Linked DNA regions of Oreochromis niloticus. The main gene of each other region encodes a partner of the protein of the gene in region 3 in a complex. Links are inferred from orthologs where the notes say so. Each region holds a gene or a part of one and is shown on either strand. Other genes may lie near its edges.

Region 1 (7,262 bases), on a different chromosome or scaffold from region 3:
AACGTTCATTGAAGATGATCTGCTCCTGCCACTCAGGGATGACTGATTTGTTCTTCTTGAAGTCATAAGGCTGGGTCATGATGGGGAGAACGTGGTCAACGTTTTCCTGCTCATAAAATGAGGATACGGGGCGATGACTACAAAAAAGAAAAACAAAATGTGAACTGAAGGCAAAATGTGTTATAATTCCAAGGTTTTGGCACTGTTAAGTGGCTTATAAATAAAAATAACTATGGTCCAAATAAAAACAAATAACTATGGTCCAATTATTTTAAGGTAAAAATATCTAAATAAAAAATGTGCCCAGAAATTGAAACACAACATTAAACTTAATCGCAGAAATGTCTCACCAGTCTTCTTTCTTCACATATTGCCCTGTGGCTTCATCAACGACGTGGATCTTCACCATGGGGTGTGAAATCATCAAGTCGGTCTTGAGGCGGTCTGTTCTGTGAATGTACACTCCAAGAACAAGGTTGTCATCAAAAACTGGTTTCTGAGGTGCTTCTGACTCCGCTTCACTCTGTTCTTTGACAACTACAAGGGGAGAAAACAAAATATGAAATGGATTACCATCAACACCTTTATACACCTTTAACTGGAATTTGATGAATCCTGAGAATTATCGTGCAATCACCATGTTTTTTCTTCTTCTTTTTCTTCTTTCCCTTGGATTCTGTTTCATTTTCCACTTCAGCATCCAGGTCTGTATCTTCATCTTGATCCCTGGAGGCAAAAAAAGAAGTAGAAAGAAATCAAACACTGTTGCCTTATCACTAATTATAACTCCATAGTACACTAATAGTTATACACACCCTGGATCTGAATCTGTGACTACAGATTTCATCTTTTTCTTTTTCTTCTTCCCCACATCATTGCTAAGCGTAACACTTTGCGAGACAGCACTCTCATCTTCTCCTTTGACCCTTGTCCTCCTTGAAGTCCTCTGCTCCTCCTTTACTATCTTTTGCTGGTATTCATGCAATAGGTTATCTTCTGTGTCCTCCACCTGGCTTGCTTCTTTAGCCTCTGTATCTCCTTTGCTTTTTCCCTTTTTATTTTTCTGCTTTGGGGCCTTTCCACCTACAGAATCATCTGGATCCAATGGAATTTCAGGTCTTGATGCATTTGCATCTTCTTGGATGTGACTTCTGATGTCCTCGGGCGTAGGAGGAGAGGGAAGGTCCCTCTTACTTTTTCTTTTAGATTTTGATGTTTTAATCTCCTCTTGGTTTCTATTGTTGTTAAAATTAACCTTCTCTGAAATTTCTCTCTCCCTTCTTTTATTCTTTGTGTAGCGAGGGCTGCCCTCTTCTGGGTCATATGTGTTCTGGAGGATGGTCTCATTGTCTTCTGTGTCCTTCTCAAGGTTGAGATTTTTTTTTAGATTCTGAAGCTAAAGAGGAAAAGGGAAGGAGGTGTCAGTACTTACAATCTTTTTATTTTGTTATTTATTAAACTTCCGCAATTAAAATATGTCCGACATGTTGTATGTTTTGGAAGAGGGGCATCATGACAGCCTTGTTCACATAAAATGCAGAATCCACAAGGATTCTGGACTATTCAGAAATAGTTTTAAGACATGTCCTGCAAGTTCTATATGTTTTTGCCAACATCTGATGTAAAATTATCAATAGAACACAAGAAACACATACCACAATAGTCTCCGGTGTTTCAGTGCTTTTCTTTTTCAACGTTTTCTTCTCAGATTCTGTGTACTTCTTGAAGACTTCATTAAATCTTTCCCGGGTTTTTGCCCGGTCTTCACTCTCACCTATAAAAGGGAACATTTTATATAGATTACATGACAATGCAGATTAGACTTTATAACATAAATAAGATTAACTACACGTTGTTGATAACACTTCTGTAGATTGATAAAAAAATTTTGCAAAACTTGTAACTGCATTTTTACACTACTGCATCACACTAAGTAAGAGAAGTAAGAGTAGCAATGCAACAGACAGGGGACAAGTGAGGTGAAGAAGAGAGTGCAGGCATGGTGGAGTGGGTGGAGATAAATATGAGAGGAAAGAAGGACACCCTGTCACCAACGTGACAGGGAAGGTTTGCAACATTTTAGTGAGACCTAATATGATGTATGGTTTGGAGATGGTGGCACCAAGAAAAAGACAGGAATCTGAGCTGGAGCTGGTGATGGAGTTGAAGATGTTAACAATGTTAAGGGAGTGACCAGAATGGACAGGATTAAAAATGAGTACATCATAGGGACAGCTCCGGTTTAAGAGTTTGGAAACGCTACCGAAGTTAACGAAACAAGACCGAGGGGGTTTGGGCATGTCCAGAGGAGGGGATAGCGGATAGATTAGACATATGTTAAATATAAAGTTACCAAACACGAGGAAAAGAGAAAGACTACAGAAAAGATCCGGGAATGTAGTGAAGGAGGAAATGCAGAGGGATAAGGAGAGATGCAGGCAGATGATGTACTGTGGCGACCCCAAATGGGAGCAGCCGATAAAAAACGGCATTGCTACTTTAATTTAAAGAACCTTCCACCATTGGAGTGAGGAGGGAACAGCAGGAAACTTACCTGCTGGCATTCTTAGACAGCGTGATGTTTCTCTTTCCGAGCGCAAAATGAGAATAATCCAAAACTGAAGACTCTCATTCTAAAAATACAGGATAACGACGTTAAAGTTGCACAACAAAATCTCTACTGGGTTAGCTATGTTTTGCTAGCCAAGCGTTTAGCACTCTAGTAAAACAAAACCGTATTAAGTCTCCCATGGTGTTTAATTTGCTGAAATCAGAGTATAGGAAAAAGTACAGTTTGTGTGAACCACTAACCTTAGCCACTTTAGCAGCTAGCTTGCTAAATGCTTCTGATAGCTCACTGACTTTGTAGGGTTACTACATTTGGTAAGATAATATTTAGGAGCTTTAACGAACAGTCTGAGTATTAAAACAAACCTCGCTCCACAGTAGCAGTCCGTAAAAGTATGTATAAGAAGCAGAAGAGTTGGCCGAGGGTTAGCGCATGTATCTACTCTGCAGTGATTGTGCTGTCCTCCATCTTTAACAACAACGCTTCGACGGTTTCCAAGTCAACAAAGCTGAAAAAGAAAGGCGGAGCCGGTGAAACGTAATCTGACGTACATACAAAAACAACAAATTAACCAATCAAAGCTGAGGACAGAATTTCATAACAGAGATATATTTACATGTTTTTTCTGTTATGATTAGCTTCACTTTCTTCTTATTTTATGTCTACCTCTAAAAGCCTGATGTTTATCATAATCTTAAATATAGAAAAATCTGTTATTGCATTAATACAATGGCCAGAGAAGAAGTATCCTATTAATTTATTCAAGTAATGTAATGTTTTTACCCGTGTTGCACTTTTTTGTAAGCTGATATACACTTTACACAGTTCACATAGAATATCATACAGTTCTACATCACAGTCACAAAGGCTTGCACACAAAGAAAGAATACAATAAATTTGTAGCCTAGAACAAAAGAAACGCAAACGAAAATACTACCAACCCAATATGAAGGCTACAGAATTCCACAAACTTGCACAGCCGTGAAACGCCTAAAATATTTAAATATTAATTTTTATTAAGTGTCACGATAAGTTTTACTTTTAAAGTTGTGTAGAGATGCAAAAACCTTAAAGCTAGAAGAGCAAGATACTTTCGAGAGTCTAAATTTACCTTGCAGTCACGTGACACAGCAGTAGGCGTGTCTACGTGCAGGTTGTGTAAAATAGACAGGTGTCAGGACCTTGTACAAGATGCAGTCATGGCTTCAGGGTTTTGTGACACCTGCTCGCGGTTGTTGAAGGAATTTGCGGATCATTTGAGGAGCGCTTGGAGAGAGCTGGAGCTCAAGATAAAGGAAGCTTTCAGAGAGATTGGACGGTGCAACTGCTTTAGGATTTCATCCGAGAGAAGGAAGGCTTTTGATTTGCCTTCCTTACGCCTCAACTGTGGTAGGAAAATTGCAGCCATGCATATTTTTTTTTTATGGAAATCGCTGTAGAGGAACAAAAAGCGAGGCAGAGGGCCTCTGTGTTATTTAGAAAAATGAAAAGCATCAAAGTAAACGTTTAGACAACAACTTCTTTAAACTTTCATACTGCATGTGCTATTACTCTTCAAAGATGTACACAAGTTTATATGATCAATTCAATTAATCTCTTTCCCCCCTCCCAGACAACGAAACTCAACTTCTCAGCCAGGAAAGTCTGCAAACACTGAACAAACTTGCAACCTCAGAAAACACTGATCTACAAATGACTTCAGCCATGTATTATCTACACCTCAGTCATCATCGTGAGTAAAGATTTCACGTTTTTGTTTCATCTGACAGTATTCCTGATAGCAGTAACTTCCAGATGATCAGCTGTTGTTTGCACTTCAGGTTTCATCATAGGCCTCTATCAGTTACTGCAGAGATATTTTCTCTAACGGGTGTGACCAGTATGCAAATTTCCAACTGTATTTTTTTTTCCCCCAAGGCTGGCAGATAAAACGCCCACTTATGGACCCATGTGTTACAAAGAAGGAAGAATAAGAGGATTTTACTGTGAAATTCACAGTATGCTTTATTATAATCTGCCAACCAAGAGCCCAATGGTGCATATTAGCTGAGGCTTCTTCTTTCAGTACAGCATAGACAGTTTTCTGTAGTATATAAATGGGTGACCAGGTGTTTTGTGTATTGGTGGCAGTTGACAGATTGCTGTGTTTAGATGCTTGAGGTTATAGCACAACTTATGAGGGATATATCTTTTGAATTTATAATCAGCTACAAGTATGTAATTCAAATTTGTAACATTTAACTTCTGCAAGTAAGACTGACATACAACTACTATAAAATGGTCTCAACTCGAACATTGTTCATTCTGACAGCAAAAAATGTGACTTAAGTTTCAAAGTGTGTTACTTTTGCCTTCTTTGTGTGTTACAGTGAACTGTCCATTACCAGATGCCTTCATGGAGCCCATCATGGCTCTACTTTTATCATCTGATCTTGATGTTCAAAAGACTGTCTCTCTCGCCCTTGTAAATCTGTTAGTAAAGAATAATGGTAAGAGATAATAATAGTAAGATATTTACATTATTATAATTTTTTTTAATTAATCCAGAATTTTAGTGATTTTGATAGTATGATTCTAAAAGCTCGTGGTCTTTTGGAACAAATGGCTTATTTATGATTTGCCATCCATAAAATTTGATTTCAGTGTGTAAAGAATTGGTGATAGAAATGGGGATGCTGGTGCCCATAATTGAGTTGTTCCGGTCAGGTGATCCCACTGCTCAGTGTCACTCCTGTGCCTGTGTTGCCATGTTGGCCTCCTCAGGTTTGTACAGACCTTCATTTTTAAAGTATTTTTCGACACGGTTTAGAAAGTACAAACACTTAATTTTAAAAACTTATTATGTATTGCAAAATAAATGGCAGGACTTTGAGAATGGCTAGAGAACTGAAGACTTATGAGAAAAGTAGTTATTTTGTTCCATGTGCTTCTTGAAATGACCTCTCCTCTGTCTTGCTGAAATTCTGCTAATTTGTTTTGGGCCACTAGCACTCCAAAATTGTCCCTGCGTGCATAGTTGCTATTTCATCTTTCTTTCCAGAGTCAAATCGAGATTCTTTGATGGTCGATGGAATCATACCACTCTTGGCTTTAGCAAAATCTTTTGATCCAAAGGTCCAACGGAATGCAACTTGGGCTCTATTACACCTCACGCAGTCAGGTGGGACCATTTCATTTGAATGTCACTGTGCACTTACAGTTGTGGTTAGAAGTTTAGATACACTCATCATTGGTATCAATGCCATGGTAATTTAGGGATTACTTTGAACTGTTCTTTTTCTAGGAATGATTGTGCAGTAAACATATTTATTGAGTTTTAAAAAAACAAAACAAAACAAGAAGTCTGTGCACAGTTTTGAATTTATTTTGGATTTTGTCTAATCGACCCAGGGTCAAAAGTATAGATGCAGGCTCAGATATACACACATCCTTACATTAGTGGGGCTACTAATGTTTTGTTAAATTCCCTTTAGTAAGTTGCACCTCAACCAGATGTTTTTAGTAACCATAAACAAGCTTCTGCAATAATTCTAGATGAATATTTTACCAATTCTGCCAAGAGAGGTAGTTGAGTTTTTATTTGTTTGTTTGTTTTTGTTTTTAAATAGGGTTGAGGTTTGGGAATCCCACTCCAGAACCTTAATCTTAGCCTGCTTTATCCATTCCAAAAACCAGTTTTGATGTGTCTTTGAGATCATTGTCCCTTTGGAAGACCCAACTGACTCAAAGTTTCAATCATCTAGTTGTTAATTTTAGGTGAATTTGAAGGTATTCCTCCCTTCTTTAGTATTCCACCAACTTTGTGCAATGTACCAGTACCACTGGAAGCAAAACAGCCCCAGAGTATGATGATACCACCACCATGCTTGACAGTTCAGTTGATAGCCTCACCTTTATTGCTCTAAGCACACCTCTTGTCTTTGTGGTATTCTCTTTCTTGGTCAGCACCCTCTCAGCCCAACTGGTGTAAAACTTCATGTGAACAGTGATGCTGATGTTCCTACGGTTTTCAGACAGTCTTGAGCCTTGGTGGTTCCTGGGTTGCTGAATAAACATCCTAACCAATTTTTTCTCCTCTGAGGGTGATGGTTTAGGTCTTCTTTTTTTTTTTTCAGAGATGGGCAAAGTGGTGACAAATCCTAATAACTTGTACTTATGTACAGTTGTTTAAAGTAATGCTCTTTAAACCTGCAGTTGTTTAGAAGTGGTTCCAAGAGACCTTCCTAACTTGTGTAACAGTTCTTATTGTTTGTTCTTCACTGAGTTCCCTGGAGTTTCCATTGTTCTGAGTATTGGTCAATCCAACATGTGCTCTCAAACAAATGCTCCTTATGCAGGCATAAAGAAGAATTGTAGTCAATCATGATCACTAACAAGGAGTTAATTTGCCGTGGTGTTAGGCCTAGAAGCTTGTTCAATTCAATTCAATTTTATTTATATAGCGCCAAATCGCAACAGAAGTCGCCTCAAGGCGCTTTATATTGTACAGTAGATCGCACAATAATACATACAGAGAAAAACCCAACAATCATATGACCCCCTATGAGCAAGCACTTTGGCGACAGTGGGAAGGAAAAACTCCCTTTTAACAGGAAGAAACCTCCGGCAGAACCAGGCTCAGGGAGGGGCGGCCATCTGCTGCGACCGGTTGGGGTGAGAGAAGGAAAATAGGATAAAGACATGCTGTGGAAGA
Region 2 (8,308 bases), about 37 Mb from region 3:
TTAACAATTACAAACAGCACTAATCTTGCATGTTTGAGGCAGCGTAAGAGGCCTTGAGCATCCGATACTTGTTAACAACTAAAGCATGGCACCATTGCCAAGCTTGGCACACAATAGTCTGTTGCCTAGTTGACCAGAATTTATAGTAAACAAACAGATTTTCAGTACCTGCAGGTCATCTAAGCACTGGTAAAGCTGGCGGTTGGCAAGGTTGAGCTTCCTCTGAGTCTCAGCATTCTCGTCTTTTGAAGACATAGGCTCTTTCTGGTCCAGCTCTCCGCGATAAAAGTCCACATCCTGCTGGAGCTGCTCATTCTGATGTGATGCAGGAACACAGACGTCAGTTCAGAAAATGAACCCCCAAAAATTTCCTCTGCTCACTCACAAATATGGAAACACTAAATTGACTTTCAAAGCCCCTGAAATACAAGCCTTTCCTGCTTTTCAGTATACTTTGAACAGCGATGGATTTTTCTATGATAGTTTATAAGAAAACACGCAGTCTAGAAGGTGTCACCTTATGTATATTAAATATAAAATATGTGTTATAATTTATAATCGATCAGGTTAGTAAAGTTCACTTTGTGCACAAAAATCAAAAATCAAAACTTAAACCCTTTAAAAGCCCAAAATTCTGCTAAAATTCCATTATGTTAAGGATTGCATATTGCATATGATATACTTCTTATCATCATCCTACTCACTTTTTGTATGTACATTTATAAAAAGCTGTGATGCAAAAAAACCCTCATGTACACCTTTATATGGCTACAAAACCTACAAACTATACCTCATTTCACATAACCAAAAACTTAGTTTACTTAACTACACTACCTTTGTGTCTTACCTTCCTCTTAAGTTTTTCTAACTACACCACGGAACAGATGGAGACAGAAAAAAAATAGATTAAAAGGAGATAATGAGTAAAAAATGAAGGTAAAGCATGAGTACACAAAACTTTTAAATAAAGTACGAATGGATCGTAACTAAACAAGGGATGAAAAGAAATGACGAGTGTGATGCCCACTATCAAATACCTCTCTTTTCAGCTTCTTGATGACTTCCTCAGCCTTCTCTACTTGCACAACCAACTAGAAAGACAAAACCAACTTTACAATGTAGAAACATCGAAAACATTCTGCTGTTGCCTTGTAACCATCAGAAAACGATGGAAAGCTGGAAGCAAACAATGTCAAACAAGATTAGCAAAGCAACAGATGAGTCAAACCATTTGTATCGTATTCTTGTACTGGTTGTTTTTGTATATAAATATGTGCATACATAAATATTTTCAGTTTAACGTAACATTCAATCTTTTCACCAGCATGTTGTTTTACCAGCGCTTTGTCAACATAGCATGTGCAAACTAATGAGCTAACATTTGCAAGACTACCTATGGCAGGTAAAGTGCTCATACCTCCTCGTTGGTTTTCTTTTCCTTCCCCATTTCTTTCTTTAACTGGGTCACCTCATTCTCCCTTTGCTCCAACTGGGTCTCGAGGTGCCAAATCTGATCTCTAATAAAGCCGGTGTTCTGCACAGTGCTGTGGAGCTGAGTAGTACAAACAGGAGACAAGATGCACACCCAAACAACCCCCACAAAGAAATCTCTTAGTGTCTTATTACCTCCATCTGTTCATATGTGTTCATTTCCATGACCAAGTTGTTAAACAACGTTCTGTTCACGTTTTTTAAGGCATAAGAACAACCAGAATATAAGTAGTGACAATACACAACCCTGGGAAAATTGAAAATGGTTAACAATTCAAAACGATAAGCAATTTCTGTGAGTGCGCAAGGAATTAGCTGTAATCTTCTTAGGGGTCACTACAGCAAATCCCTTCATAAGGAGGGTTACGCTCAATGATTGGCTGAAAGAGTTGGCACTGCTGAAAGGAAGTAAATAAGCATAGAAAATGATATCAAACCACATAAACATTTATAATGATGGCTGAGTTCAACTATGTGAAGAAATAACAGTTCAGCAGATCAACAAAAATGCCCAATACATAATGTGTAAGCAATAACATATACAGTTCGTTTTTTTATATATATTTAAAAACTGGATTTTATTTACCTTCTGTTCTTGTTCCAACTGTGACACCTTAGCCAGGAGTTCTTTTTCTAAAACACAGAAAAATAATGCAGATGTTGTTTATTAACCTGACAGACAAAAAAGAAAAAATGTCTAACAAACTTTATATGATACTAACCTTTTCTAGCATGTTTTACACCAATGTCATCAATAAAGTCGAAGGCAACAGAAAGTTCTCGATCTCTAATCTAACACAGAAACGTAGAGAAGACGCTGAGAAACAAATATTATTTCAAAGGAAATATTTCAACATGCATAAACACGTAAAAGCACCAAGGTCAGTAGTGTGACTCCTTTATGAATATTCTTCTTTCCTAAAAATACATTACAGATGTTGGTAGGGTGGGTCACAGATGTGCGTGGGAGAGATCAGAATATAAAAACAATAAAACTGAACACCTTCAGCAGGGCCTGAAACACCCTGAGGACTTGAATAATGTTCTCTGGAGCTTTATCCTTCACACCCCATTCTTCTGTCTGCGTGGGAAAAGTCAAATGTAGAGTCATTCAACCTCATAATACCAATGCTTGTACGACACAACTGCCTAGACCAAAACAATCTATATTTATACGTGTAATATGACGAGGTGTACAAAGACTGCTCAAGGTTCAATCGCAGCACTCAGGCTTATGCGGAAAATTCATCAAGAGCTTTCAGCATAAGTTAGATTGTTATGTGTTGTATCCAATGGTCACCGAAGGCATGAAAAATGTAGCATACATAAGTACATAATTGTTGACCAATCAGTGGTCAATCAGTGATTGCTATACTCAAAATAATAGTCTCATATAAGCAGGACTATAGTCTGTCTTTATTCCATCGGCCATCAAAGATAGACAATCACTGAGCTGATAGAATTTGTAAATTAAAAAATATAAAACATTGCTTGTTGGCCAACCTCCAGAAGTAAATAACATAATGTTATTAATAATGTTATCGACGGGCAATTACCAAAACTAACATATCGAAGACCTTATCCACTTCGTCTTTGTCGCGTTCATTGAGGGTTTCTGGGTCAATTCTCAACACTTTATCCCAATTAAGAGCTGCAGGCATCTTGGCCATGATGTGTTTTAAAGACTTAGCTAAATAGGAACTGATATAACATCGATGTGGCACTTAAATTGACGGTTATAGAATAGAGACGCATTGGCTGCTAGGTTACGGCTGACAACAACAGTTAGCTAATGAAGCTACTCCAGAAGAAAACTACAAAAAAATCGGTAAGGTTCCCGGAAACTTAACCAAACCGTAGCGAGACGGTGAATATAAAGTTATTAAAGTGTATCGTCGCAGTTTTGCAACTCGGTACTGTCCATATTCACGTCAGTTAGTCCACAAAAAGCATCAAATCTCGCTAGGTTCAACTTGCGCGGTCACCTCTGCACCGGAAGTGATAGTGGGTATTCGCCAAAGCTACTTAGCACATATGGAACGCCGCTTGATGAACTGTGTATTCCGTCTATGTTTTGTCAGCTAAAGTGTGTTTTATGAGCTCAACTATCAGCCCTGTTATAGACACGGTGAGAAAGACCTAAGCTACTTCTCTTCCCATCTTATTCAGCCTAAACACAGATGACAAGGTAGTTAGCTGTAGCCGCTAATTTAGCTTCATCGTTAGCTAATGTTATGTTGCAGTTACGGCGGGTCTGAAATTGTCATTACATGCTGTTTTGGGCTTTTTGTGCCATTATGTAACCATTATCGATTGGTCACAATGCCGACTGAATTTCATTTATCAAACACCTGGTGTTCGATTTCTCGTAGCTAATCCTCTCGAGTAAAATTAGCTGGCCACGACAGTGCTGTTGGAGTACGCCCTCCATAGCTTTTGCTGCCAGCTGTCACTGTACCGGTAACCAAACTATTCGGTTTTTCAGCAAATAAGCACAAATTTAGTCACTTGTACTTTTATTCGTTCTATAATTTAGCTGTTATATTTCCATTTACATCTGAATCTGTAGCTTTATCAACAAACCGAGGAGGCACACTCTAAGAAGTAATGCTGGCATGGCATTTAATTTACTGGGTGCTGTGATGAGGAATCGGGCTAAGAAGACTTGTTTACATACACAGTACATCACAAAGTTGCACTATTAGTGAAAATATGTGTCCAAAGATGAAATAAGTTTGAACTTATAAGTGTCTATTTCACAAATCGTCATGCCATCAAAATTGTAATAATACTAAATCTTTTGTTGTCCTGCACAGTGATCAATGAAGGCTTTGGTCAGCAATGGCTGTTGTGTCATGGAAGGAGATTTTACTTTTGAGTGGACTGGTGGTGGGGTGTTACTGGAACAGCTTGTCATGCGGGTTTGTGTTTGATGATGTCTCAGCAATCCTTGACAACAAGGATCTGCGCCCATCAACCCCAATCCGCAACCTTTTTCTCAATGATTTCTGGGGAACACCCATGGCTGAGGTAAGCTTTAAGAAGAATCAAACTCAATACGAGGTTATGTAATTTCTCTTTAGAATTTTATATTACGGATCTAATTTGTCTTTTTGTCATTTGTTGTTACTCAAAGTAATTTAGAGAGAAATAAACCTCCAACATGTGTCCCACTACAGGAGCGCAGCCATAAATCTTACAGACCCCTGACAGTACTCACCTTTCGACTGAACTACCTCTTCAGTGAACTCAGTGCAGCTTCCTACCACCTGCTCAATGTCATTTTACATGCTGTCGTATGTGTGCTTTTCCTGCGAGTGTGCCGATTGTTCCTGGACAAGACTTCCAGCTTGGTGGCAGCATTACTGTTTGCTGTGCATCCCATTCACACTGAAGCTGTAAGTGTACATTTGTTTGGCTAGCAAATGTTAAAAAATGTGTTTTATTAAATTAAATTTGGCCTAATTGAGACTTATGTTCGTGTACAAGTCCATGAAAAAGTGTAAATTAGTGAGAGAAGTAACTGGAAATACTCCCAATTTATCTTTCACTTTCTAAATTAAAGTAATCTCATCAAGTTATGCTCCACCGGATGGGACAGACCCACTGGGAATTATAGACAAATGCTAAACATTGGTCAGGTGGTCCTTGAGTCCCATCTGCAATCCGACTCCTGACTTCCTCAAAATTCTCATGTTCTATTTTAACCATTTCCATGAGCATATGTTAGGCAAAGTTTTAGGAAAAATGAGATAGAATACAAGGTCACTTTTTTAAATTTTAGGGACATCTGTCTGGGTTTGCATAACTAAGCATTCCACTTGGCTATCATGGACGATCTATCATGGATCGTTCACAAATCTGTTGCAGGGATAACACAGATACACAACCATTCTAGTTTAAATAGATACTTCTGGCCAATTTAGAATTGCCAGTTAAACTGACCCATGCTTGTCTTTGGTACCGAGTTGCAGCACTTTGGACAGTGGGCTCCAGCCAGGGTATCTGGAGAGAACTTATACAAGCATGCAATGTGCTAACACTGAACTGGAAGCTAGGTCCTTCTTGCAATGAGGTAACATAGCCAACTAAGCTGCCCTAGCTAAGCACAGGGTTTTCCACAGAAATTATAACCACTGGATGTCCCACTTGATCTCTAGTATCGCAAACCAAACAAGCAGTAGTGTCAGCCACACCTTCACTCTTCCTTTAAAACAAGATAGGTGGCTTTGTAAAATACGTGAGAAGCCCTGCAATATTCCAACTTAAGCTGAGCAATTCACTTGATAGTGCTGTAGAAGTATTTTCACCGCACTGTAAATGTGGCTGAATTAAAAGGATTCTGCATAGAAGAATGGGCCAAAATTCCTTTAGATGGGAAAGACCAGTTATTGCAAACACTTGCTACAATGGCGGTACCAGAAATTATTAGATTTTGGGGGGGGGAATTTCTTTTTCACATAGAGGCAGATAGGTTTAGATAACTTTTTCCCTTAATAAATGAGTTTTTAATTTAATAGCGGAATGTTTTATTTATTTAGGTTATCTAATACAAATCTGAATGAAGTCACAAACATTAAAATAAATTAGGAAGGGGACAAAGATCTTTTGAAGTTTGAAATCTACATGTGCAATAAGGTGTTAAAGAGACTTTAATATAGAAACAGTGTTTACATTTAAAGACTTTGTGTCTTTGCTAAGCGGTGTAGGACAGAAACTTAGCTTTGCGCCAACATGTCCACTGTGGCATCAAATCAGAATGCGTTTCAGTGATTGTTAAAATTGCGTTAGAGGGAACCAGACAATAAACAGCAGTTAAATTGTCACATCTTGCCTGTTATGGCTTGCTCAAGAAGGGACTCCACCTTATTCAAAGAAACCCTTTTGTTCATGCTCATGATATTAGCTTACTTGTGCTACACGTTACATTAAACCTCTGTTAATGCAGCCTTAAATGGCAACAGTAAAAACATTCTTTAAATGCTTTAAAATTATGGCTTCATATTTTTTTTCTTTTTGAAATATAAAGATTGTTATTATAGCTTATCATGGATGTTGTCTGTAACACAAAGCTTATTGAACTTAATAGGAAATCAAAACCCTTTAGCTTATTGTTTATTTGAACTTTATCTCATTCTACTGTCTGAAAAGCCTCTTCCCCAATTAGGACTTGTATTTCATCCTTTTGAACATAGCTGAACTGATGACCAGACAGGCCTTGACCAGAGTAAAAAAACAAAGGAAACATTCTGCTTCTTGGGTGTGGAGTGCTACTGTTACACAGCATGCATCACTGTTCCTATCTTCCTCATCATGTTCTCTAATCTATGCACAGTCTTTCAGACTTCTTGAATGGAAACAATTTGCCTCACAAATGAGCCTTTAGTGTTAGTCCAGCAAATGCCCTTCATGTTATCACCGTCTGGAATCTCTCACTGAACGGGTCATTTGTTTTTTGAATTATGCTTCAAGCACTGAAGGTCCCTGCATTATAAGCTTATACAAAGAGTGCCTGTGTGTCCCATGTCTTTTTCAGTAGTTTTTTTTTTTTTTTTTTTTGGTGATCTGTCTTTTTGAATGAGGACTTCAGTTTTTTTTGTTTTTTTTATATCTTCAAACATCTTTAGATACAAATTATTTAGTGTACACCACACCAATATCTTGGGTCAAACATGGCATTAGGGTGAAAGGAGTTGCCAACTCTGTATAGATGGAAAGTGAAATTTGTAGTTCGAGTATTTTCAGGAAATTGAGCCAACTGTAATCAGTCTTTCTAAGATTCTGTTGAAGTAACATTGCACTGACCAGACATTTTTAGGGGGCTCTTGAATGCTGCCAGCATTTTTTCCTTCTCCCACCAGTTGACAAATAGGTCAGTCAGAGCACAATGCCTGTGCTTGTTTTGAATCTTCATGGCAATCCCTATTTATTGGAAGCTGCAGCCCTCTCATGATGCCAGCTGAATTCTTAAAGTGTAAACAATCCCCTCTTCTTTTAGTGAGTGCTTTGTAGAACTATTTGTGGGACCTTTATGTTCTTAGAGTATGTCTCTTTCTAAGAACTTGATAATGATATTTCTTCCGCATGAGGGCAGTCATCATGTACTTAAATGACAGACGTTGCTGTCAGAGAGACTACGTTACATATAATTGCGTGCCCATCAGTTGATATGCGCTGAACAGAGCTTTTTTTTTTTATTTTTATTTTTAGAGCCTTAGACCATGAGCTCTGGTTCGTGCCAGTCGAAGACACGTGTGTAATGTTCTCAGAGTTATTAGATATGTTGTCTGAGGCATGGAGGTCATGTGGTGGTGGCTTCAGACTCAGAGTCGAGGTAAAGTAGCATGGGCATAGAATAGCACCTCCTAATAGGAAAAGTAAACTTTTCTGAATGATTTCACAAACTTATTTCTGACACTTTTTTTTATCTACATTTCAACTTGAATTACCAAACAATGAACATTTAAGTATATTTTAAGAAATCATCTTTCCAAATCTTTATGGTTGGGTCTCTGTGTTGATTGACTGTTTATCATCAGGTCACTGGTGTGGTTGGCAGAGCTGAACTTCTTTCATCAATCTTTCTTCTGGCTGCTTTCCTGGCGTATACAAAGTCAACTGGACCAGACCATTCCATTGGTAAGTATAATGTTCTTCCCTGGCCTTTATTTATTTCTGTCTCATGTGCAAAATCTGCTGGGTCGTTAAGTATGAACTTATTTTCAACATGCTGGTCTCCGTTAAGATTATATCATTATTTTAATTACCAAAATAAGCAAATACATATACAAAAAATCAAGACAGGGGCAGTGGAAGT
Region 3 (7,211 bases):
TCCCTCTGTGAATGGTACTCATGGCCATTGATCAGTGTTCTTTGATCAGTGGGTTTTGGTCAGTGATTGTTGATCAATGGTCATGGGTATTTGCATAATTATGATTAAGGAACTGACCTCACAGCCCATTGTTCCTTCAGTGGGCTGGTTTCAGTCATTATGCAAATGTACTGTTTATAAGGTTTAGGGAAACCTGCAGTCAGCTGAGACTGAAGAAGTCACTTGGATGAGTGACGAAACGTTTCTCCCACAAAACGCTACGTCCAGATGAACAGATTCAACTTTTGGAGATAATCACAATTATTTTCACTGAAATTGAGATCTCGATTATTGGACGATATTTACTTAACAATAACAATGTATTGAATAATGGCTTTAAAGATTGTCAAAAAATAGTATAAAATAGTGTGCAAATACTGATTACAGTGGAAATGTTTGCAATATAAAAAATAAAAGAAAAATGTAAACATCTATGTTTAGTGAACTTCAAAATACTGCATAATATTTGATCCACGTCTGACTCCGCGAACCCATAATGTTTCCACACCACTGAAGTCGTTTTATCTCTCTTTTCAACCAACGGCATTCTTTCTTCAGCAGCCGTTATCCTCTCCTCTCCAAATAACTTCTGCTTAGCTTTCAGAGCTTCCCTCGGGTCCTCTTAATTGTTGTGACGCGTGTTCAAAACGCAGAGAGGTGCGCTCGATTTGCCACACGGAGCAGCGCAAGAGTAAAGCACGAGGGAGGTGCTAATAATCGGCTCAGTCATTTTTAATGATCGTTGAAAGCCCAGATCGTAATCGAGATTAAAATTCGATTAATTGAGCAGCCCTATGCTTGGGTGCTACTAATGAAAAACACTGACGCACTAACTAACTGGTTACATTTCTGCTGTTTCTGCTTTTTTCTTCAGAATAACCTTTTAGGGTATTTTCTGCACACTTATTAAAGTGAAAAGCACAATTCACACATACACAGAATGAGCACGAAAATGAAGCTCATGCCACGGCAAAGTTTCTTACTTCTAAATTATGATTTTAGCATTACCACTAATCACCTGTCTAATCTCATCTAATCCAATCCAGTCACCTGCTAACCAATCAACTGTGAACACAGTGCTTAAGTTCATTACCTAAATATCATGGTCCGCAGGTCTTTCCTCCCTGCAGCTGTCAGACTGTACAATCAAAACTGCTCCCAACAAACATAGAGGTTTACATCAGCGAAGTAACTTGCACTATTTTATCAACCGATTCACACTATAACCAGGGTTTGCCTCTTATCTGTATTTAATTTAATTTAATTTAATTTAATAACTGTACAGTACTCTGTTTTTGGTAACCATTCAACTTGATGTAAATATGTAAAAATTGTGTATGTTTCTGTTCTGTGTCTTGTGTACTGTTTATTTGTATGTGTCTTTCTTGCTGCTGTTACACCCAAATTTCCCCTTGTAGGACAATTAAAGGATTATTCTATATCTTCTATCAATTCTGCTGTAGTTTGTTACCAGAGAACTGATTTGAGTAGGGTGCTATGAACACATTCTTACAGTGACTGCAGGAATCCGGAGGTTGGCTCCTAGCATGTTGTTAAGTTGGGGGAAGGTGCTCCAGGCGACATATTCTCCCTGAGTACTGGTTGCTGCAACAAGCAGAGTCTGGTACTGGAATCTCACAACTGGCTGTTCCTCATAAGTGCTCCTTTTTATCCAAAAACCTAAAATTAAAAACAAGTTTGAAAACAGCGAGCACATATTTGTATCACTTATTATGACTCAAACTGTTCAGTTTTCTACAACTACCTACTTGGTGTAATTACAAACATATGCAAAATAAATCAGACTAACACCCATTTCAAAAAAATAAATAAATTGGTGAACCACTCCGTGGAGGTCTAGAGACTGGAGTTGAGATTATTGTGTGGGGAAATCCCACTAAACTCCAGTAAATCAGCAGTTTCTGAAACACCCAAATCAACCGGTCTGGCTCCAACAACCATGCTGTATTCAAAGTCAGTGAAAATAATAATAAATTACCCTTCTTAAATTATTCTCATTTAGAAAACAGAAGCAGCTTGATGATGTTACTGACGAATTCTGTTTTCAACTCTGTTGTCATTTTACACATGGACACCACCAACCACTTGTTTATCAGTTGTAATAATAAACATGAAAATAATTACTGCCTGTGATGCAATCAAACAACCACGCGCAATGCTTTCTGTGTGTTTTCTTTTTAAAGCAGACATGAATTAAGCGTTTTAATGTTTCACAGTCATACAAGAGCAATAAGAGAAACCAGGAGCCTGTGATTCCTGACGGAGATAAATGAAGTCTGATGAATGAATCTTAATACGTGTATAAAAGCTTCAATCTGGAGTTTTATCAGTTTAATTTAAAACTTCATGGCTTATGCCATGCTTTGATACCTAGCAGACTTGGGAGAATAGAGGAAGTGCCACAGGATTTTGCCTTCCCAGCTAACATTATTTACAACTATGGAGATCCCATTGCGTGGCGCAACCCTGGTGCTATTCCATGAGTGACGTGCAAACAAATATTTTGCTTCAATTAGCGTGGCATGCGTGGCTGCTAAAGGGTGTAGTTTTTAGAGCGCATGTAGAGTTTCTGGACCGTAAATGTACCTTGGCTCCTGTAAGCAACCAGCAGAGGCGGGATGTAGGTGAGGCACAGAACCACAACCAGGAACAGCGTGGCTTTCGTGCACACGCTGGTTTTGTACCGAATCAAAGCCGGGTGAGAGTACACCTCATAGGAAGCCATAAGTGTGCTGGAGGTATAAACAGCTCAATCTTCCAGATAGCAAAGATGCTAACCGACGGAAAAACCCTCGGAGGACCAGCGTGGGCAAACCGACAATAAAATGCTAAGGAAGCATAAATTATCCCTTAGCCATCCAACCGCTTCCGTAATGAAGTGACTCTAGTAGGGCATTGGTCAAAAAACACAGTGAATTAACGTGCTATTTATGTTAGCACCAAGTACCGCGCCATGTTCCTTCCTAGCTTAGCGTCTGGCGGTTGCCATGGCTGCCAGTGTTCGCGTTTGTGCTGCATTCACGCGATAGCAGCACGGTGAGCACACTTAGCAGAGGTCACACAAAACAGAAAAAAAAAACAGAAGCAGAAAAGCTTTGCATGCAGGGATTCCATGTTTTTGTGCTTACTTTGCATTTATTTCTTGTAATTTGAGGATACTTTGGGTCTCTGATTATCTTTTAGTTTTTCTTTCACGTTGTTTTGGGTCTCTTTGCGTCTCGGTCGTTTTGCATCTGGTCAATTTGCATCTGTTTCAGGCCACTTTTGCGTCTGTTTTAAGTTGCGAACTGAAAACAGACGCAAATACATGTCTGCGAACATGTCTGTTGTTATTTATTTATTTTTATTACTTTCTGTTCATTTTGCATCCCTTTAAGACTGTTTTGCATGCCAATCCAGATATTCTTTATTTTTCACTATGCAGTCACATAACGAAATTTTGTGTGGTAGTTCTCATCTTAAAACAAGACATTAGTTGCTACAAGATATGTAAATAATTATAAATATACTCAATAGAAAATTAATCAAAATTAAAAATAATTTTGTGTTTGTTACTATTATTATTATTTATTTTATTTTTATTTATGGATGGTTGGATGGGTTCATTATGCATTAACACGGATGTCAAACTCAAATTTTACATTGTGGCCCACATACAGATAGGTGGGCCAGACAAGTGAAACTCTGCTTATTGTCATTGACCAGAGGTTTAACTGCACATTTATAGCCCAAATAGTTACATGATAACGTTTTTCTAATGTAGTTAGTGAAAAAGTAACACCAGTCTTAATGACTCTGGGCTTAAATTGTAAAAAATTAATGTGTAAAATTACAGAAACAATTTTGCTATCTCACTGTCTAGACCAGGGGTCAGCAACCCTGGGCGCGAAGGGTTGACTGTTGGCACGACCATAGCTGGACTGGCCATCAGGTATATCGGGCATTTGCCCGGGCCGATGATTTTTTTTTTTTTTCTTGTACAATGAAACAATGAAAGGTGGTGGATTGGCCAGATGCTGGCCGATGTATAAAAATAAGTCAGTTGTTTGGTGGTGGCTATGGCGGAGCTTCCACAGAGGCCAGCGGGTGGATGAGGGAAAGGGGAGGCAGGAGGAGGAGAGACCGAGTGTCAGGTGAACTTAACTTCAGGTAAGAAGTTATGACCTGCAGTCTATCTGGGTCAGATATAAAACAAGTTTAGGTGGAGTTTATTTTCGTTGTGCTGACTTTTTACAGTCAGTTACAATAACTCGTACTGCGTACTAGCTAGCATGACGGATTTTCTATACAGCTGGGTGTGTGCTATGATGTTACTGATAGTGAACTTTATTTTATTCATAAGGTTAGTAGAGTTGCCAACTTTCCCCTAAAAAACGGAATCGTCTCGTATTCAGCTGAAAAGGAACACAGTTTGTCCCGGACTTCAGCTAGGATGAAAAAGACACAAAGCCGGAGTGTTTCTGTCTTTACGCTGTCAGCTGCCTCTTCTTCTCTCATTCTCTCCCCTCTCTCTCCTGTTGCTACTTCAATCATGAAACTGATCAATGATCAGCTGATCGGCTTTTCTCTCTTGTTTGTTTATCGCCCACTTTGCGCCAGAAAGAGGAAACCAGCGGATTTCGCGCTAAACAACAGCGGTACGTTTAAGCTTGATCAGCTGTTGTTCGAATTTATTTAATATTAATTTCTAGTATCAGCTGATGTTTGCTGGAGCCACAGCTGTAAAAGCTGCTGGTCATGATATCGGTTTGGATATGTGGTGAGAGGGAAACATGAAGATGAAACCAGGAGATGTCCTTACTGAATCATCAGAGCTGAACAGGTGATGGAGAAACAGGTTTACCTTTTAGGTGACATGAATGAGTTGAAGGGAAGTTATGAACTGTTTCTGAGAGACAAATAACACCAGGATCCTTTTCTAAGTAGCTGACAGCTGGTAACTGTGCAGGGGCGGGTCTAGCAAAGCTTTGGCAGGGGGGCCAGGTAGGGCATTAACAGGGAAAGGGGGGCACAAAGAAATACTTTTCTTTCTTATTCACATTTAAAATGTCTCGCTTTTAATAAATAATTATCTGAATCTTACAACCAAAGTTTTTATCAGATGTATAGAATGTATAGAAATCATACATATACCAACAAGACTGTACATCACTGTCACAAAAGCGTTTGTTTTCATTCAAAGGCTTTATGGCTTTTCCTATAATACCTGGTGGGCCGGTCTCTAGTCAAAATGCCCGGGCCGATTTTTTGTCCCAGTCCAGCCCTGGGCACGACACGCAGTGAATTAATCTGAGAAGGTGCATTAAAAAAATAAATGGCCGGGCCAGTGGCGCACATCACAAATTAGCTCGCATAGACACATTAATTGTGCCGCTTCTTAATGATGGTATCTTAGCTAACAACCCCAACTACCAGATTCAACTTGTAATTGGCTAAAAATAACTTAGCCTACCGGTGAGAGGGACGTTGCTAGCTGGCAGTTTTTTCAAGCGATGTTGAAATTTCCACATTCCGACACTTCAAATGCTTCAGGAGCTGCCCGCTCAGTGCAGCATCAGCACAGCGGAAATACACAGATACATCCGTAGACTCGAGACAGAATTCACAATGCGTTTTTGGGACTTTCAGGTGTATGGACCAATGTTTTTTTTTCTGATCAAACCAGAAAGCTTTAATGAGCAGCTGGATTTGTCTCACATTAACTGGCTGAGTTAATGCCAGGTAATGCGACATCAAAATGCAGCTGATTGAAATAAAAACCTCGACTCTGTGGGGTCAAAGTTTGCAGAAATACAGACACAGCTGGAATCCACAGCTGTGTGTGTTCATGGAGCTTGCATTTTCACCTGCTGGACATCACTACCTGACAAGTTTAACTGTCTTGAGAACATTGCAGAGGCCTTATTGACAGTATTTGGCTCTACATATCTGTGTGAGCAGATTTTCTCTCACATGAAGAGTGTCCTCGGGTAGCCGTCTGAATGCTGGACACTCGGAGACCTGTGTCTCTGAGTGGGAGACCAGAGATCACATTAACATGTGTATCCCTGTATTAACAAACATGCCATATTGGCCCAGTTCATTTTTCTTATCATTGTTGTGAGGAGACCATAAATAGCATTTGCGTTTTCTGTTGTACAGTTCATTTACTCTTATGGAGTTCTTGTTATGGATAAAAAGAGTCTTTTTTTGGTTTCAAAATAGCTGATAGCTGCCAACATCTGCAAACAGATATAATTCTATAAAGTTGTTCTATATAGTGTGTAACTGTCAGTGTTGGGTAAGTTACTTTAAATTAGTAACTTAGTTACATTACTAGTTACTTCTCTAAAAAAGTAACTCAGTTACTTCAAGTTACTCGTTACTTTCAAAGTAACTAGTTACTAGGGAAAGTAACTTTGGTTTTACTCAGAATTCTCTTGTTAATGTGTTGCTTCAGTCTTCTAGCTTGCTTACTTGCCACAAGTGCACTGTGCCACCTACCAATAGAAAGGAAAAAATAATGTGCACATTTCCACCAGAGAAATCCCACGCCTGGACCGTCGTTGACCGCCGCCATGATTCTAGCCTGCTTTTTACATCCAACACAAAAACTGCAGTCGTGGTGCTTTTGATTGTACTCAGAACTTGGAAATTCTGCCTTCTGAATAGGAAGATGTAGGTAACACCAGACTGCAGATGAGCTGCATACAGACCTGGACTGGGACAAAAAAATCGTCCCAGGCATTTTGACTAGAGACCGGCCCACCATTATAGGAAAAATCATAAAGCCTTTGAATGAAAACAAACGCTGTTGTGACAGTGATGTACACTGTTCTGATGGTATATATGTATCAATCTATCAATTGTTTGTTGTAAGACTCAGATAATTATTTTTTTAAAAGCGAGACATTTTAAATGAGAATAATAAAGAAAAGTATTTCCTTGTGCCCCCCTTTCCCTGTTAATGCCCTACCTGGCCCCCTGGCAACACTTTGCTAGACCCGCCCCTCCACAGTTACCAGCTGTCAGCTACGTAGAAAAGGATGCTGGTGTTATTTGTCTCTCAGAAACAGTTCATAACTTCCCTTCAACTCATTCATGTCACCTAAAAGGTAAACCTGTTTCTCCATCACCTGTTCAGCTCTGATGATTCAGTAAGGACATCTCCT
Region 4 (7,792 bases), on a different chromosome or scaffold from region 3:
TTCCCCTTAAAAGAAAACAATTACTGTGTATAAAAACTCCTTTGTGACTTTATGAGCTGTGTTTTGGCGGGAATATTACAAGAATGTGATTTAACCACACCATCCTTCAAACCAACTGAACTTTATTCTGAGTGCAATCACAGAGTTTCACGTGGACGCTAAAAAAAATAATAACAAGCACCTCTCCCGACCCCAAAATATTTCACCATCCGATTTAAAGCCCGCCTACAGGAACATTTCTAAAAACTGAAAACACGATCACCCGTCCTTTATTGTTATAAAGAAACTAAATCTCATCTGAAAACAGAAAAGTTTTGAACTGAGATCAGTGACCATCACCCCGAACGGTCGACCAAAGATATCACATTTCCTTGAAAATCGCCCGAAGCCTCGAACGAGCCCCTGAACTGAAGCAGCTCGAGGAGTCTTTCAGTAAATCAGTTCTGGGACTGATTACAGTGAGCAAAGCCTGCTTCAGATGTTCTCAAAAGCAGCAGACTCGAAACACAGAGGACAGCTGCAGCGACGCCGACCGGCACAAAAAACGCGTACAAACATCCAGAACCTGAAAGTAATGTGATGAAGTGAAACATCGAAACAACTCTCGGTGTTTCAGTAAAATAAAATAAGACAGTTTCAGATCTTTAATCACGTGAGCGGCAGCGTTAAAATCACACCCCACTTTTAGTCAGCGTTGCAAAAAAAAAGAGAAAACTTTTCCCGTCCCTGGTAACGAGTACGCAAACACTGAGATCACACGTCGTCTCAGTAACCATCAGATCTGTGGATTAACGACTGAATCCAGAAGATCATTTCTGAGCTCAGATCACACATATACGTGACTATCGTGTCCCGCAGACGTGCATCTTTATGGGCCAGTAACACATGCTGCGAGCGAGGGGGAGAAAATCTAAAATCGCTCCGCCGCCGGGCGCTGTAATAAATATGGAGGAGAGGGTGGGTCACACATTCCCTGATTGGTCAGGTTAAACGCTCGTCACGATCACGGCCGGTGACGAAAACAGTAACAACAAAAATCTTAAACATGTTTTTCAAGCCAAATCCTGCAGCTGGGTCTTTTCTGCCGCCCGCCAGCAACGCCGCCGCCACTCAGTACTGCATCCATCAGTAGACACCACACACACACACACACACATACACACACACACCCTCTGACTCCAGATTACACCAGCTTCTTGGCCTCGAAGAAGCTCTTCAGGTGTCTCATCTGCCAGATACCGATGGCCACCAGGATCAGGGTCTGGACGATGGACCACCAGAGGACCCGCTGGTTGGTGCTCTCGCTGGTCTGACGGAAACGCTCCTCACGGTACTGAGGGAAAAACAGACGGCAGGGGGCGCCCATTAAACCTGAGCGCTGGCATTTTTGACAGCTATGACAATACACAGTGTCTGAACATTCTCAGAATTGAGTTTGTAGCAAAAATAATAAAAACTAAACGTTTTAAACATAAACCTCATATTTGAATTAAATAAATGTAGACTTCACTGACAGAAAAAGAACATGGGTTCCTGCTTTTCTACTTTGGTGACTTTTAGTCACAATAAAACTAAATAACCAGCTGAGGCAGGAATAGAAGAACATCAGGAGGTAAAACAGCTGTTTTCATGAATGGAGTCTGGTGGAGAGTACAGGCTTTCATGTTGTCAGGAAACTGGTGCTGACAGCAGGTAAAGTGGTGAAAATGTTCTGTTAAACTGATTGTTTTGGGCGTGTACATAATATCAAAGAGCCTGAGCGATGAGCGGCTCTGATTCACGTTCAGAGTCTTCATGTGCTTTTGACATACACAAAAAAAGTGCAGAAGTGAGTGTTTCTGACTGACCCGCTGGTAGTTCTGCTCCTTCTGGATCTGGTCCACCTGCTCCACCAGCTGTCGGACTCTCAGCTGCAGCTCCGTCAGTTTGTCCTTGGCAGCGATCTCAGCATAGTTGTTGGCGTGTTCACCCACCTGGATGTCCAGGTGAACGCGCTGCAACACATCACAAAAATCACAAACCGCGGTTATGAACGTCACGGATCAGAACAGAAAGGAATAAACTGCTGAAGCTCTCGTTTGTATGTCTGAGCGTCTCCTCACCAGCATGCCGCCGGCAAACAGCGAGAACTTGGAGGAGTTGGAGTGAAGGCAGATCTGATGTTCTCCAGGTGTGTGCGACGTGAAGGTGAAGCGTCCTTCTGAACCGTACTGTCGAGACAGAATCACCTGCAGGGAACAAACAAAACATCTTCCACATCAAGCAGAAGTCTCAGCATTTGTACTCTAACTCCTGAGAGCTTAAAGCTGCAGCCTGCTCTGAACACTCAGGTTATTACACTTTTTTTCTTCTGCATCGCTGTAATCTCACAAAGCAAGGAAGTCCCACCCACCTGTTGCTCAAAGCTTTGGCAGCCAATCAGAACAAGTTGGCTTAAAGGCGGAGGAGCTAATACATCTTGATTCAGAGTATAAGCTGAAGGAGGAACATTTTAAACTGAACTACTGTGAATCCTGCCAAGCTCCTCGAGCATAGTCCAGGCGTAAAAATACTGCATATGTCAAAATATATAAGCTACTCTGAGCTGAAACCCACAGCGGATGGATCCACACATTTGATTTATTTTGTTCCAGGTACCCTTCCTGACGCAATCCTCCCCATTTATCTGAGCTTGTGACTTCCTGAGTCTGGGTTTTTGTCTCTTCCTGGTCTTGATCTGAGGACCTTTCACATATGAGGCATATGTGGCTGTACAGTTGAGCGTTAACCACGACAGCATGACGCCACATAGACTCTTTAAGTATATGAACTTTATGCTCACCTTGTCATCAGGATCTTTGACTTCCACGAACATGCCGAGACCCTGAGTGGCCGGCAGGTACTCCGCCGTCTGCTTATCATACAGCTGAGTCCGATAGTTACCTGCACAGACACACACACACAGCTTGATTAGTGAGCAGTTTGAATGAATATGGGTTCGAACTGAAACCAACATCAGTTTATCAACTTCAGGTTGAATATGTCCACTTTTTTCTTTATGTTTTGAACTTTATGTTTCAGTTAACAAAAAACAAATACAGTAAATGCAACAGGAACAGAATTCGCTTTGTTTTCTTTAGAAAACACCTTCACCATCACAACCTGAAGTTAACCGCAGACTCTCAGTTCACTGCTTTACTCTGTCTGCAGATGCATTAGTGAGAGATGCACTTGAAATGATCCCGAATTAACCTTTAATCTGATGAAAATTGTGCAGATTAAGATGCTGAAAGAAAAGCTTCTTTGAACGGACAGATTTCTTGCCAGACTGATAGTATGTACCATGTGCTAGTTTCTCTCATTCAAACAGAGGAGGGCTGGTTAACTTTGAGATAAACTTACCTTTAATCTAACCTGGATTAAATTATAGAGGAGGATTCAACGGGCCAAAGGATCCACTTTAAACTTAGTGTTGATGGATTATTATTTCAACAGCTTTCTTTAATGGAAAAATACCTTTATGAAAACTTTAATCACACTTTAAAGTTTAGATTTTTGCGGGGATTTTCCTTACTATAAAATCAAATCATGCTATCGTGAACTTTTTTTTTAATAATATTTATTTTAATTAAGTTTAGATTTTTTTGAAAAAGTGCACACATATTTGAAGACACGACACACTAAACTTGAGCTGTTAGCTGCTCGGCTAACTAGCTGCTAGCATTATCCCACAGATCCCCCACCCCCCTCTCACCGATAATCATGGTCTCGTCCGGAATCTCCTCGATGAAGCATTTCTTCTCGGTCTCTCCGATGTGAAAGTACAGTGCGGAGACGAAGCTGCACAAAACGTTCAGGAGTAAAACTGAAAACAGACACGGCTGCATCCTGATCCGGAGCGACGCCATCTTCCTGCCGGGACACACGGAACTCACACTGAGCATGCGCCTGTCACAGCAGTGCCACGTAAACCCTTGCGGCACTCTGGCCAATCGGCTAACCGCAGGAGGATACTGGGTGTCGTAGTTCTAAACGCTCTGGGCTTCTAAAATGAATGATAAATAATTTTATCATGATTAATCATTTATTTTTAGTTTATGTACTTAAAAAAATACTCAAAATGTGCGTTTATGAGACATTGTTTAAAAAAAAACAAGAGGCTTCTGAACTCTTTGCCCCCTCTCTCTCACGGACAATAACCATATCCAACTTCTAAATATTACTTGTCATGTTGTATGTTGTTGCTGGGGACTGTTTTATTGCACTGGAGTTATATTTACACTTATTATTATTTTTATTCACGCAATTTCATTGTTTTCTGACAATGACAATAAATATTTGAATTGAATTGAATTTTATTTAGCAAAGGAAAACAAATATTTAATTTCATAAGTAAAACTGAGTTGTTATTAAAATGCTTTGATGTATGCCTGTTATTATTATTTTGTATTACTGTAAGACCACGAAAACAATCTCGTGGTCTTTTACTGTGAAAGACCAAAGCGGGAAAAAGCCTTTTTCACACATGCGTAGACCAAATCAAACGGTATCCACGGCAACAGGGCTGAAGCGGACATGGCGCCCGGTGAGTGTGAGGTTTTTGTTGTTGATAAATCGGTAAAGGTGCAGGGTTAAAGTTTTAAATATTTCATAGGTTAAAGTCAGTGGAGAGTTTACTGGTCGAATAAAACTGTATATGGTTATTTATTTTTGAGCAGGCTGAGCGTGGTCAGAGCAGCGAACACGTCAGGTTTCTGTCAGCTCATCAAACCACAGCAGTCAGAGAGACGCTAACATTACTGATAAAGAACCGCAGCACATGTTTTTACACAGAAACAGCAGCTGCGTTTCCTTATTTACTCTCTTCAGCTCAGTTAGTCACATTGAAAAGACTGAAAACAAAGATGCTAAAGCCTAAAAAACAACACATTAAACAGGAAGTTTAAAAATATCAGTTTTAGTCTGACTTTTAAGAGTCCACAGATCTCAGACACTCAGAGCCTGACAACATGACCACGGGAAGCTGCTGACAGCGTATGGATGTTAAAATTCACAGATGTACGTAGGTTCCTGTCCCTGGAAAGCTCTAAAGGTCAAAACCATACTCTTAAAGTGCACTCTGAAGCAGCTGAATCAGCAGTGACTCAGTCTGAACCCTCACAGCGGCACTCTGAATGACCTGCAGACGTTCTAGCGAAGCTTTGTTAAGACAAGAGAACAAAGAAATTTGAAAATTGCTATAATTCAAAAGTGATGACATAGATGCATGAACGACAATCCCCAGTTCAGACATCCTGGAGCGCAAAGCTGCTTTATAAAGAATAGAATAATAAAAGAATATAAATAAATTATTAAATGCAGTAAAAACAATCACAGACATTAGAAACGTCAAAGATATGCCAAAAGAGACAGAAGAAAGAAAGCACACCTGCAAATCTGTGTGTACAACGAAATCACTTAAATAAATATTTAAACATTTTATATCATTAATAATATTATCAAGATCACCAATACAATCAGCAGGTTAATCAGTAATCTGATCTGTCCTGTTTGTGGTCTGTAACTCACTCTTCTGCTTCCTGTTTCCACTTTTTTTCCTGCAGGGAGCCAACCAATCGTATCCTTCACCTGACTCTAACGCAGAGCTGCAGGTCATGTGACTTTGTGCCTGCCGTTGTTTCTCCTTGACCTCCTCTTCCTCAGCTCTCGTCCGCTCCTCTGCAGGTGCTGTTCTACCTGAACAGCTGGTACTTTGCTGCCTTCTACCTGGCCGAGGTCCTCATGTTCATCTATAAAGGTGTGTGAGAGCATCCTCCTCTACCTCCTCTTTCTCCTGCAGCGCAGAACTCAGAGACAGAGTTTGAGAAATGGTGCCGTTCACGCAGACGATTAAATGGGACAGAGAATTGGGCTTTTTGACCGAGCGCTGCGAGCTCGAGCTGAACTGGGACTGAGTTTGAGGGGCACTTGATTTACCGTCGAAGCTTCCAAGCTCAGAAAGTGCACAGTCATAGCCCGGCTACGACTGTGCCGGGCTACAGTCGGAGAGAAATCGGAGTCCTTCAGGAGGTCTGCTGATGTACGCCTAACCCACAAAAGTCTGAACTCAGTCCAATGTGCTTTTATTTTTTAAGATCGAGTCACATTTAACTTAACATTTTATTTTTACATTAAAAAAGCTTAATATTCCTGTTTTTGTTCAGCTGCAGCCTGAAACTCACTTTGTTAAGAAGTCATACGTGGGTCCATCGTTGCTGTAGAACTTTATTTAAGCAGGTTAAATCCAATTAACAGCCTCCACAGTTTAAACTGGAGGAGAGGATTATGATGGTGATGAAGATGATGGTGTTTGTTAAGATGGAGAGGCTGATGATGATGGGGTCATATTGATGTTGATGGTGATGATGATGGTGATGGCGTTCTGATGTCTGCTCTCTGCAGGAGTTTTGTTGCCGTACCCGTCAGATAACCTGGTTCTGGACGTCGTGCTGCTGCTGCTTTTCCTCGCTCTTGAGATTCTGCGGATCTTTTACGGTGAGCAAAGTCACGTCTCATTTTGAATAAATCTTTATTTATAACAGGAATGGTCTTTCATGTCCTTTAAGAAGTCAGATAAGATGATTTTATCTGTCTTGAGTTCATGCTCTGCTGCTCCTGCCACCTCCTATTTAATTCAATTCAATTTAATTCAATTTTATTTATATAGCACCAAATCACAACAACAGTCGCCTCAGACATTTATGTGTCTGACAACAAAGTGCTTCACAAAAACATGTCGTGTACACACACACACATACACACACACACACACACACACACACACACACACAACACGCACGTCACAAACTGAGTGTCAAACTGCGTCTCCATCCAGGCTGGAAGGGAAACCTGTGCGAGCGCTCTCTGGCTTCCTGCATGTCGCTCTTTGTCCTGCTCCCCTGCACCGCGCTCGCCGTGTACTACCTTCTGCTGCAGACTTTCGTCCTACGCCTCGAGTTCCTGCTCAACGCCGTGCTGCTCTGCTTCTACGGCCTCGAGTTCCTGCTCGGGCTCATCTCCATATCCGCCTTCTCCAGGTGATGGCGTCCTCATGTGGGCTTTTTGGGTCGGTACAAATCTTAGTCGTTTCCTTAAATACTAAAGTTCATACTTTACGTCTTCTTCCGCAGGGCCAAAGTGTACTGAGGAGCAAACGCCACAGGACGAGTCAGCAGAGGTTTCTGTACACACTGTAAATATCTGCCATGTTTGATCAAGTTTTTTACCTTCACGAAAATGTTTCTGTAAATAAACGTTCTGATTTCTACGTCACAATGAATTAATCTCCAGTGTTTCCTTTTAAAAGTTTTTCAATCAGAATGAAGTTTAAACTGAAGTATCTTTTATATACAGTCTATAAACTATTAGCCTTTACAACAAAGGTTTAGTTAGCCAGCTGGTATCTTCATCACGCTCCACCGACACACCGATCCTCTGGTCCTTGTGCTCCCTCTGGATCTCCCGCACCTCCTCCGTCAGCTGCAGCTCCGTCTCACCACCTCCGCAGCTCCCGGTGGCCACGTGGATGTCCGCGTGAACTGTCTGCAACAGGAAGTCGAAGCATTTCTCAGCTTCTTACTGAGATGCTCATGAATGTGTTAAGTAAAACACGCCATCTGGGCGACCTTTAAAGCTAATTTACCATTTTATACTCTTCAAGTCTTTTCGATTTATTTTACACAGTTAAAACAGAAGCTGACCAATAATGCCTTAAAGACGGGAACACTTCTTTCCAGTTTCAGAAGAGAAGAAAAGCTGACAGGTGTGTTTTGTT

What was found.
Region 1: tmem231 (region 3) and ahi1 share a complex: the UniProt entries of both Homo sapiens proteins name them as parts of the tectonic-like complex. The link is inferred for Oreochromis niloticus from reciprocal best matches to the Homo sapiens genes TMEM231 and AHI1.
Region 2: tmem231 (region 3) and cep290 share a complex: the UniProt entries of both Homo sapiens proteins name them as parts of the tectonic-like complex. The link is inferred for Oreochromis niloticus from reciprocal best matches to the Homo sapiens genes TMEM231 and CEP290.
Region 4: tmem231 (region 3) and tmem216 share a complex: the UniProt entries of both Homo sapiens proteins name them as parts of the tectonic-like complex. The link is inferred for Oreochromis niloticus from reciprocal best matches to the Homo sapiens genes TMEM231 and TMEM216.

What each region holds. Positions count from the first base shown.
Region 1 is NC_031983.2:20,286,985-20,294,246, reverse strand, and holds the start of ahi1 (jouberin), read right to left. Parts: upstream 3,108-7,262; 5' UTR 2,935-3,107; exon of another isoform or gene 2,812-2,934; intron 2,634-2,811; 5' UTR 2,565-2,633; coding exon 2,555-2,564; intron 1,775-2,554; coding exon 1,656-1,774; intron 1,397-1,655; coding exon 816-1,396; intron 727-815; coding exon 638-726; intron 538-637; coding exon 351-537; intron 138-350; coding exon 1-137. Other genes in the region: vacuolar protein 8, read left to right, coding at 3,769-3,958, 4,182-4,301, 4,939-5,058, 5,213-5,332, 5,610-5,729. UniProt on the Homo sapiens protein: Involved in vesicle trafficking and required for ciliogenesis, formation of primary non-motile cilium, and recruitment of RAB8A to the basal body of primary cilium.
Region 2 is NC_031972.2:41,787,691-41,795,998, reverse strand, and holds the start of cep290 (centrosomal protein of 290 kDa), read right to left. Parts: upstream 3,191-8,308; 5' UTR 3,162-3,190; coding exon 3,048-3,161; intron 2,573-3,047; coding exon 2,495-2,572; intron 2,284-2,494; coding exon 2,214-2,283; intron 2,125-2,213; coding exon 2,078-2,124; intron 1,553-2,077; coding exon 1,418-1,552; intron 1,092-1,417; coding exon 1,038-1,091; intron 869-1,037; coding exon 848-868; intron 316-847; coding exon 169-315; intron 1-168. Other genes in the region: tmtc3 (transmembrane and TPR repeat-containing protein 3), read left to right, coding at 4,333-4,521, 4,671-4,889, 8,031-8,130. UniProt on the Homo sapiens protein: Involved in early and late steps in cilia formation. Its association with CCP110 is required for inhibition of primary cilia formation by CCP110.
Region 3 is NC_031972.2:4,918,243-4,925,453, reverse strand, and holds the start of tmem231 (transmembrane protein 231), read right to left. Parts: upstream 3,076-7,211; 5' UTR 2,786-3,075; coding exon 2,647-2,785; intron 1,720-2,646; coding exon 1,553-1,719; intron 1-1,552. UniProt on the Homo sapiens protein: Transmembrane component of the tectonic-like complex, a complex localized at the transition zone of primary cilia and acting as a barrier that prevents diffusion of transmembrane proteins between the cilia and plasma membranes.
Region 4 is NC_031966.2:8,580,851-8,588,642, reverse strand, and holds tmem216 (transmembrane protein 216), read left to right. Parts: upstream 1-4,477; 5' UTR 4,478-4,554; coding exon 4,555-4,564; intron 4,565-5,582; coding exon 5,583-5,596; intron 5,597-5,682; coding exon 5,683-5,776; intron 5,777-6,420; coding exon 6,421-6,513; intron 6,514-6,853; coding exon 6,854-7,055; intron 7,056-7,148; coding exon 7,149-7,164; 3' UTR 7,165-7,297; downstream 7,298-7,792. Other genes in the region: tmed9 (transmembrane emp24 domain-containing protein 9), read right to left, coding at 1,184-1,333, 1,848-1,994, 2,103-2,228, 2,822-2,922, 3,734-3,923. UniProt on the Homo sapiens protein: Part of the tectonic-like complex which is required for tissue-specific ciliogenesis and may regulate ciliary membrane composition.